Linked DNA regions of Cricetulus griseus. The protein of the gene in region 2 purifies or fractionates together with the protein of the main gene of each other region. This does not show direct contact. Links are inferred from orthologs where the notes say so. Each region holds a gene or a part of one and is shown on either strand. Other genes may lie near its edges. The genes, in order: Ripk2 and Nod2.

What was found.
Region 1: the proteins of Nod2 (region 2) and Ripk2 purify together in Homo sapiens (affinity purification with western blotting; 12 studies listed by BioGRID and IntAct, with this or other methods). This does not show direct contact. The link is inferred for Cricetulus griseus from reciprocal best matches to the Homo sapiens genes NOD2 and RIPK2.

What each region holds. Positions count from the first base shown.
Region 1 is NC_048595.1:130,017,807-130,022,354, forward strand, and holds the start of Ripk2 (receptor-interacting serine/threonine-protein kinase 2), read right to left. Parts: upstream 2,807-4,548; 5' UTR 2,653-2,806; coding exon 2,480-2,652; intron 1-2,479.
Region 2 is NC_048596.1:164,270,832-164,275,208, reverse strand, and holds the start of Nod2 (nucleotide-binding oligomerization domain-containing protein 2), read right to left. Parts: upstream 2,818-4,377; 5' UTR 2,746-2,817; coding exon 2,688-2,745; intron 485-2,687; exon of another isoform or gene 1-484. UniProt on the Homo sapiens protein: Pattern recognition receptor (PRR) that detects bacterial peptidoglycan fragments and other danger signals and plays an important role in gastrointestinal immunity.

The DNA.
Region 1 (4,548 bases), on a different chromosome or scaffold from region 2:
TATAAGATCCCCTTTCCTCCTCCTGTCCACAGTATGAAACAAGGGGTTGGAAGACAGTACAGCTGGTGAAGTGGTTGTTACACAAACAGGAGGATCTGAGTTTGATTCCTCAGAATCCACATAAAAAAGTCGACAACAATAAAACACTCTGAAACACTAACCTGCCCCTGAGATAAATGGTGGTCCTGAGGAACAATACCTGAAGTTGACCCCTGGCTTCCTTATCATGCACATGGACCAGTACGTACAACATGTGTGTATACACGAACACAAACACACATGCGCACACACATGAAAAAGTCTGATGTATTCTTCCTTCCTGTCAGCCACTTTATAAACACTAACTGTTCAATTGCCTCTCTAAAGCTGGCTCCATTACCTCCACTTTACATACAGGGACACCCAGAGTCGGAGAAATAAATGATCCTCTGGTGACCACAACCAAACAAAGCAACAGGATTAAAGTCAGATTCAAATTGTAGTCCTGGTACTCTAAGGTCTGTGTTTTTCCTAGTCTGTTGTTTGACCAGGAAAGCAAGTTGGACAGTTTATAAGGTTAGATTTCAACAAGACTAAGGGGGGAAATAAAACTAAAAGATTAAAAAAAGCTAAAAATGTAAAAGACAGTTTCAATGATTATATCACCAAAATTACCCAACTCAAAATTTCAATAGGAAACAGTTACCCCATCTCTAAGGTACCAAGTGGAGTCATCTATCCATTAAGGTAGGAAGTCTGCTATGTTAGGCCCACTCATTGGCTACAGAGAATGACTCATTAATCATTAAAATAATATGCCACGTCACAAAAATTTATTTTCCTCTCAGGTCATCTTAAAGAACAATGGGCACTTTATCTATACTAGATAGAGCACAACAAATATACGTACGTACGTGTTTATAATTCATATTTTATAAGTGAGGAAATAAGACACCCAAGTCAATTGCATAAGCCTACGCTTATGCACTTGTTAAGATCTTAGGCAACAAGAGAAAAGAATGAAATGCAGTAAGGTCACAGGATTTTGTTGGTCTTAGAAAGATAATTTTTTATCCAATTCAATGAAATTATACGATGATGTGGTTGGTGAAAATGGGAAAGCATCACCATCTTTGTCGCTTGGCCCACAAAAAGCATAACACTTTTGTAAATAAAAACCTTGGAAAGCAGAATCCAAAGTGAGAAATCACTTTGGTATACTCAATGGTCTACTAGTGCTACATATCCACAGAATATTTGTTTAATTGGCTTCTAGCCAGCCTCCCTTTAAAGTCGATCCCAGACAAACACACTTTACCCAGCACTAGCTCCACCGACTATAAGGCCCAGTATCTGAATCTGGATCATGGTACACAGAAAGTTTTAGTGTTCCAAACTTCAATGTGATCTAGCCCATGGTGGGGGGATAAAAGCTACTACAGGCAGATGAAAGTCCAATATTCTAGCTGGGCTGAAGACAAGAGAGGTCTCTGATGCTGGATATGACCTTACACCAGACATTAACAGCCTCTGGCCAATGGGGCCGCTATGAATTTTGTATTTTCACTCAAGATGCAGGAGAAGAGAACGTTGCAACTACGGATGTTAGTGCATTAAGAACTGAATGAATTCCGGAAGGAAAACACACAAGAGTACTGACCAGACTCTTTGACTAACACGTACAGTCACAGATCCATGGTATTTAGTTGCAATGTTTCCCGGAAACAGAAACCAAGGCTATTTTTTTTTCCTGATGTGGAAACTGGACTCAAATAATATCAGAATGTGAGGCAATCACATTTTTTTATATTCACAAATTTTGACCATTTAACAATCTTTGATTTCAATTTACTGTTACAAAAAAAAGCACACACTTCCTTTGAGGACTTCCAAAGTAAGAGCTCGAATAACAATGGCTAATGTAGAGTTTGATATCTGAACTTCATGACTGCATGTAATAAGCCACAAACAAGATAAAACCAATCTGATCAAAGCAAAACATGCAGGCTCTGGAGTAGCACTGATAAATATGGAGTGAAACACACATACAACCCTAGAAAATATTTTCACATGTAGTTAATATAAAAACACTGGTACATTTTTTAGTACTAAATATTCAAAATCTGGTGTGTATTTTGCACTCACTACATATTTCATTTCCAAAGCCCAGTTTCATGAGTTCCACGGCTCTTGTGGCTAACAGCTAGCTAAAAATAGAGCTAAGCCCACATGCACTGTACCAACACACGTCGGGTTCAATAAACAGGCTTTTAGAGGTGGCCGTGATTGCATGTTTTTGGAGGAGAGAGCGGACACCTCGGATGGGAGGAGAGGCGAGTTGGAAACTCTGACGCACGTCCAGGGCAGTTTCTCCCTTGGACCAAGATAGCCCCAGGGATAAGAACTGGCAGCTGCGGGGAGCTGGCGCATCACGGTCAGTGTGGCCGGACTGTGGCCGTGCGGGCCCGCGTCTGCGTGGGGCCCCGCGGCTGCACCCTACCTGTCGAGCAACGGCGTGTGGATGTGCAGGTGCTTCACGGCCACTCGCACGCGCCAATCCGCGTGGCGTGCCGACGACACGGTGCCCGAGGCGCCGCGGCTGAGGTAGTGCAGATCGGCGAGCTTGTGGTAGGGGATGGGAGGCAGTGCGCTGCAGATGGCGTCCCCGTTCATGGCTCTAGCTGAGCGGCGGCTCCGCTAGATCCTGGCGGTGGCCGGTGCAGTGCGGCGTCAGGTCGCCGGGCGGCCCATTCCCGCGTGGCCGCTGCAGTTCCGGCCGGGCGACTGTCCCTGGGAGTCCGTCCGTCTGCGGCCGCGCCAGGGAGGACCTTTCTCCGCACTCCTCCTCCTTCCGCGCTCCTCCCTCCGCGGACCCCTCCCTCCCCTGCTTCTCTTTCTGCGGTTTCCTCCCTCCACCCATCTCCTCAGCCTACTTCTTCTACCCGCGGCCCCTCCCTCCTCAGACTCCTCCTTCCGCAGACTCCTCTCTCCGCAGACTCCTCCTTTCGCTTCTCCCTCCTCAGGTTCCTCCCTCCGCAGGTTCCTCTCTCCGCAGGCTCCTCCCTCTGCAGGCGGCTCCCTCTGCAGGCTCCTCTCTCCGTAGGCGCCTGCTTCTTTTGGCTTTCTCCTCAGGCTCCTCTCTCTGCAGGCTCCTCCCCCTGCAGGCCCCTCCCTCCATCCCTCCCTCTGCAGGCTCCTCCCTCTGTCCACTCCTCTCTCCGTAGGCTCCTCCCTCCGCAGGCTCCTCCCTCTGCAGGCTCCTCCCTCAGCAGGCTCCTGGGTAACGTCAGCAGAGTGGGGGACTCAGCTCCCCCTCCCTCTCAGCCCTGTGGCTCTGCTCAGGCCTGGAGCACTTTTCCTCTGGGGAAAGTCCCTGCAGTGGCGTCCACGCCGGATTTTCCTTTGGCCTGGTGTCTGCCTTAGTCTCCAAACCCCAGAAGTGATGGGGTGGGGGTGACTCCTGCTGGGGAGCTCGGTGACATCTATATCGTCCCACTTCCTGAGCGATAACCATCTGCTGGCACTCGGTGACTACCACTTCAGGAGTGAGGTGGAGAGGTAAGCACTGTCACAGTGTGACAAATTGAGGTGTTTAGCCCCTGTGACATGCTCCTCTACCAGGAAACTTGCTGTTTTTATTCTCCAAAGCCTACGGACAAATTGAAAAACCACCATTTCTTGTGTTTGGGAAGGCTGCTATCTAAAACAAAAACAAAACAAAACACTCCAAAATAACAACAAAACCCCACACAAACAAAAAAGACTACCAAAACCCAATCACTATTCCATCTTTTTACTTAAAACACCTTTCTACTTAGATGACTGTTCAGTGGGATGTTTGGCACAAATTTAGTACCTCATATTTGTGTGCCATTTAGTTCTGTAATCCTATCCCTACCTGGATACTAAACTCTGTAATTGTGTCCCTTTTATGAATAGTGTAAAATATATATATCATCCACACATTCTTTCCTAAACTTTAGTTCTTCATAGTTTTACAAGTCTACAGTTTAGAAGTATGTGTTCTTGGGCTGGAGACACGGCCCAGCCATTAAAAGGCTTGGCAGTTCTTGCAGAGGATGGAGTTTTGCTATTGGCCTTACATCTGGTGACTCACAGCTGCCTGTACCTCCAGCTCCAGGGTCTCTGACCCCTCTTCTGGCTTTTGCAGTTTGCATACACATAAATAAAAATAAAACTTTGAGCTAGGTGGTAGTAGTGTACACTTTTAACCTAGCACTCTGGCAGGCAGAGATATCTCTGAGCTAGAAGCCACCCTGGTCTTCAGAGTGAGTTCCAGGACAGACAAGACTGCACAGAGAAACCCTGTCTCAGCAAACAAACAAAACAACCTAAATAAATAGATACACAAAATAAAAATTTAAAAATATGTACTTACATATGACATTGAACTATATATAATTATAGATTCTCAACTAGGACTACATGATATACATATGGAAAATATTTTCGGCACAAATACATAAATTAAATTTTCATCAATTAATTAAATATAGAAAGCTTAATATGTTAGTAAGATCTGCTAAACAAGAAACAAAAACTTAGATG
Region 2 (4,377 bases):
CCTGCATACCACAAAGCAAGGCATAGCCCCACAGACCTATTCTGCCAGTCCCCTGCCTCTGAGTAGGCCATCTTTCTATCTCATCTTAAGCAGCTGGAAAAGAAGACCTGGGGTTGATACTATCGTCCTGACCAGCTGAGGAGTCCTTCATTAGTTTATCTTGTTCGGCTAAATTTGGAAGAAAAAGCAAAACGATAGATGCTCTTGTCACCTGTTTCATAAAAGCTGGTCTAGTATCCTGTTCCTGCACCTTCCTACTCAGTCAGACTCGTCCTCTCCAGGTTAAACAGGCTGTTCTGCTTCCCTGCCTTTTCTTCTCTATCCAGCTAGGGCCACCTTGGAGTCACTCTTAGGCTCTGCAAGACGGAACCCAAACAAAGGGGGCACCAGCTTGCTGAAACAGAGGGTCAAGGGTATCTACAGAGGCCCCTCTCAGCCAGGTGGTGGTGGCACATGCCTTTAATCCCAGCACTCAGGAGGCAGAGGCAAGCAGATCTCTGTGAGTTTGAAGTGAGCCTACAAGAGCTAGTTCCAGGACAGCCTCCAAAGCCGCAGAGAAACCCTGTCTCAAAAAACCAAAAAAAATTAAAAGTAAAAATAAAAATGAAAAAAAGCCCCTCTCATCCCCAAGCCCCCAAACACACACACACACACACACACACACACACACACACACACACACGTGCTCATGCACACGCCTGTGCCCCAGCACCTCCTTCCTTCCCAGGATCATAGGCAGCCTGGTTTTCCTTGAAGTTCCCAGCTGAGGATTTGTTTGAGAGCTGAACAATCCTTGCAGTGTCCCAGGCCTCCAGCAGATGGGAGAGGAAGGGAGGTCCCCAGAAGAGTGTCCTGGTCCTGGCTGGCCAAGCTTTCCCTGGGGCACTAACCCCACTCTCCATCTCCACTGAGTTGCTCCCCAGGACATCAGTTCCCATCATAGAACAAACAAACTAATTCATCCTTCATTTCTGCCCTCCCTTGTCTAGGCCTGAACTTCCCAGTCCTCCCTTCATCCTTCCCCCCCACCCCACAACCATTACAAGTGAAAATGCAAACCATGACTTCCAGTATTTGGCCTTCTGTTCCTGGTCTTCCTTTCTGACAAGGACTTTTGTTCTACCTGTTCACTCTCCTCCCTGGAGCACGTCTCTTGAGGCCATGAAGGATTTCTCTGACCTTCCTTCCCACATGCTAGCTACTCTTTCTAGCCATTCTGCCTCCAAGGCTGATAACACACCTCTGTACTGCCGCCGAACTGAATCACTGCCACTTCTCTGAGCCACTCTCTCCCCACATAAGCCCACCTCCCCACAGGCTTAAATTCCCAACTATGTGGCAGTGATGCCTGAAATGTCACTGACAGTTCTGGACAACATTCAACATCATGTGGTACCTACCAGCATCTCCAAACAACTCAATCACTGGACCTTCCTCCTAACAGCTAGCTCCTTTCTCAACTGAAAGTGGCCCCAAACTGCCAGAGTCATCCTTGACTCTGCCGCTCTCGGGCATCACAGACCATCCACCCAGCCTTCAACAGACCCCAAATCTGAAAGCCACAGTTTCTCTCTCCACCTCTCTCTATACCACAACATAAGCCCTGAAGCCTTCTCATGGTTCCTTCATCTGCCATGACCCCCTATAGGTCAATGTTAGTCACACAACTAGATGAACCTGCCAGATCTTAAGTCAGAGCAGAGACCTTATCTGTTCACAGCCCAGCCCACTAGTGGATCTCATCATAGTCAAAGCGAAAGCCAAAAGCCTTTATAGCAACCTCAAGCTCAATACAAGAGACCTCAACTTCCACCCCTTTCCTCCTAGCCTCCATTGACTCCCACCCTGCTGTAGCCCCTCACCTGCTTCCTCACTCTCAGAACAAGGGAGCCTGCTCTGGTCTGTGGTGCTCCTGCCTTTGCCTAAGCTTTATGCTCACAGGGCACTCTCTGTCCCACAGATAGTCACATGACTTGCCCATCACCTCCTTAAGATTTTGTTCAGTGGCCACTGTCTCAGAGGGGCCTTCCTATGCTATGTAGAACTGTGGTCCCCAAGCCCTGTCCCAGCATTTTCTCCCCACAGTCCTTTTCATCATCTGCCATGGCAAGCATTATCATGATACACTGCTGGAGCTCCTCTCTGGACCCTGTGCCTCACCCTGTGAATAGACTGGTCTGAATGAATGAGAATGTCTTTATTCCACACAGCTTGGGGAGGTAGCTGTGGAACCAGAGAGTAGCCATTACAAGGCACAGACTTTAGCCAATGGGCTAGTAGGAAGTGCCTGCTCACTGGGCCACAGTGAGTGCTGACCTGGGTGAGAGAGAGGGGCAAAGTGTGGGCCAGTGCCAGCTTGGAGCTGCATGTGGAGACCACCTGGCATCAAATGGCCAAGAAACCAGGGCCTCCAATAGCCTCACAACAGACTGACTGGAAGAGAAGCAACAGAGCTGTCACTTGGTCTTTTCCCCAATTGGGCAGAGGTGGCTGATGGAGCCAGCTTTTCTGACCCTGCAGAACCCTGGCCCTAGGGGGAGATCATACTCCCCCTAGGGCAGGAAAGCCAACAGCCTGCCCCAGGCCAGGACCCTGCAGGATCTGAAAAAAAAGAACAACAACAAAAAAAAAAAAAAAAAAAAAAAAAAAAAAACAGCCATGAGAGTTTCAACCAGCTACAGACCTACCCAGAGGCTTGGGAGCTAGCTTGTCCAGACATAGAGGCACCAATGACTTGAGAAGCATAAGAGAGGATCAAGCTTGAAAGCTGAGCTGGCACTGGGCAGGTGGCCGTGGGTCTCTCCAGGCAGAAACAGCTTTTGGCCCCAGCTCCCACACTTACAAATGAGTAAGGACAGGCAGGAGACACCTGCAAGGATCAGGGAGCAGCAGCTGGGGTCTCTGAAGACCAAAGACAGAGAAACTGAGGCCCACGGAGAGGGGACAACTGTGCCAGGAATGGCTCCTCCTGCGACCCAAAGCAGGATTTCCTCCTTCTGGGTAAGGACCTCACCTGCAAGTTTTCACCTCCACTGTCCCAGCCACCCCCAAACCTCAGCCTCCCCTTAGACTTCAAAGGATCCTGGGGCCTCAATGGGCTTCCCGTGCCCTAAACCTCTTCATCTTCAGTGACCACAGTCTGACACGGGTCCCCTCTCGAGAAGCCCCTTTCCTTCTACAGCCTATCTATTCTGCTGATGATTCCACAGGGAAACAGTTCCTTCTGGAAGGAAGCGCAGAGCCAGTTAACACCATCATAGGGATGGGACATTAGGCGCTCGTGTTCTCCACCACACCGAGCCCGACCCCTCCCCCCCCCCGGAGCACTAAGTCTGCCCCCAGAAAACCTCTTTTCACCCACCCACCCACCACCCCGAGCACCCGCAGACCACAGAAGCAGCAGGCAAGCACTCACCGCCAGCTGCAGCGCGGGGTTCCTCCGCCCGCCTGGTGGTGACTCCCTCCGTGATCTTGCCCCGCCCGTCGTTCCACCTACTTAGCCAGTGACCCCGCCCACTGTGGCGGATTCGGAAGGGCGGCCACACCCCTCCTGATTTCCCTCTGGGGACAGGTGGTAAGACAGGTATCTTGGAAGAAGCCTGCCTGCGGTGCAGTGTATCCTGCCCTTGTGTGGCCGGCTTTCTGGGCCACCTTCCAATTAGGAGGGAACCATAGAGTCCCGAGAACAAGAGACAGGAAAGCCCTCCCTGTCAGCAGGAACCGATGCACCCTCCCAGGGATCTGTAAGCCCTTTAGTCTTGATGGTTGCATTCCCAGATGGCTGTGCTGGGTGGAGACTTACTAGGACTTTAAAGTTACTCTCTTCCCCTTGGCCGTCAGTCCCATGCAAGCTGAGGAGAGGAGGTCACAGCATATTAGCACTTGCCTCCCACACAGTGCTGGGCTCTACCATCATCCTAATCAGAATTCAATAGTGTTGTTTTGTTTCTATTGCATTCATTTGATTTTATAACTTCCTATTCTTAATGTTATTTTTAATGATTTATTTAAATTTTATTTATTGTGCATCAGTGTGAAGGTGTCATATCCCCTGGAACTGGCGTTACAGTCAGTTGTGAGCTGCCATGTGGGTGCTGGGATTTGAGCCAGGTCATCTGGAAGAGCAGCCAGCTCTTAACCACTGAGCCGTCTCTCCAGCCCCTCTTAAAGTTATTTTTAAAACACTTGAATGTGAAGCCTCATAATGACATTGACACAGAGTTTTTGTGTATAAAGTGAGGACATGATCACTCAAAGGTGTGGTTGAGGGGGAGGTTTTTATTGTAGATATGAGGGAGAGCACTGCCAGAGGCATCTGGAAGAGTCCAGAGCAGGGAGAGGAAGCAGTAGCTTGAACCTGGCCAGCAGACAAGACTG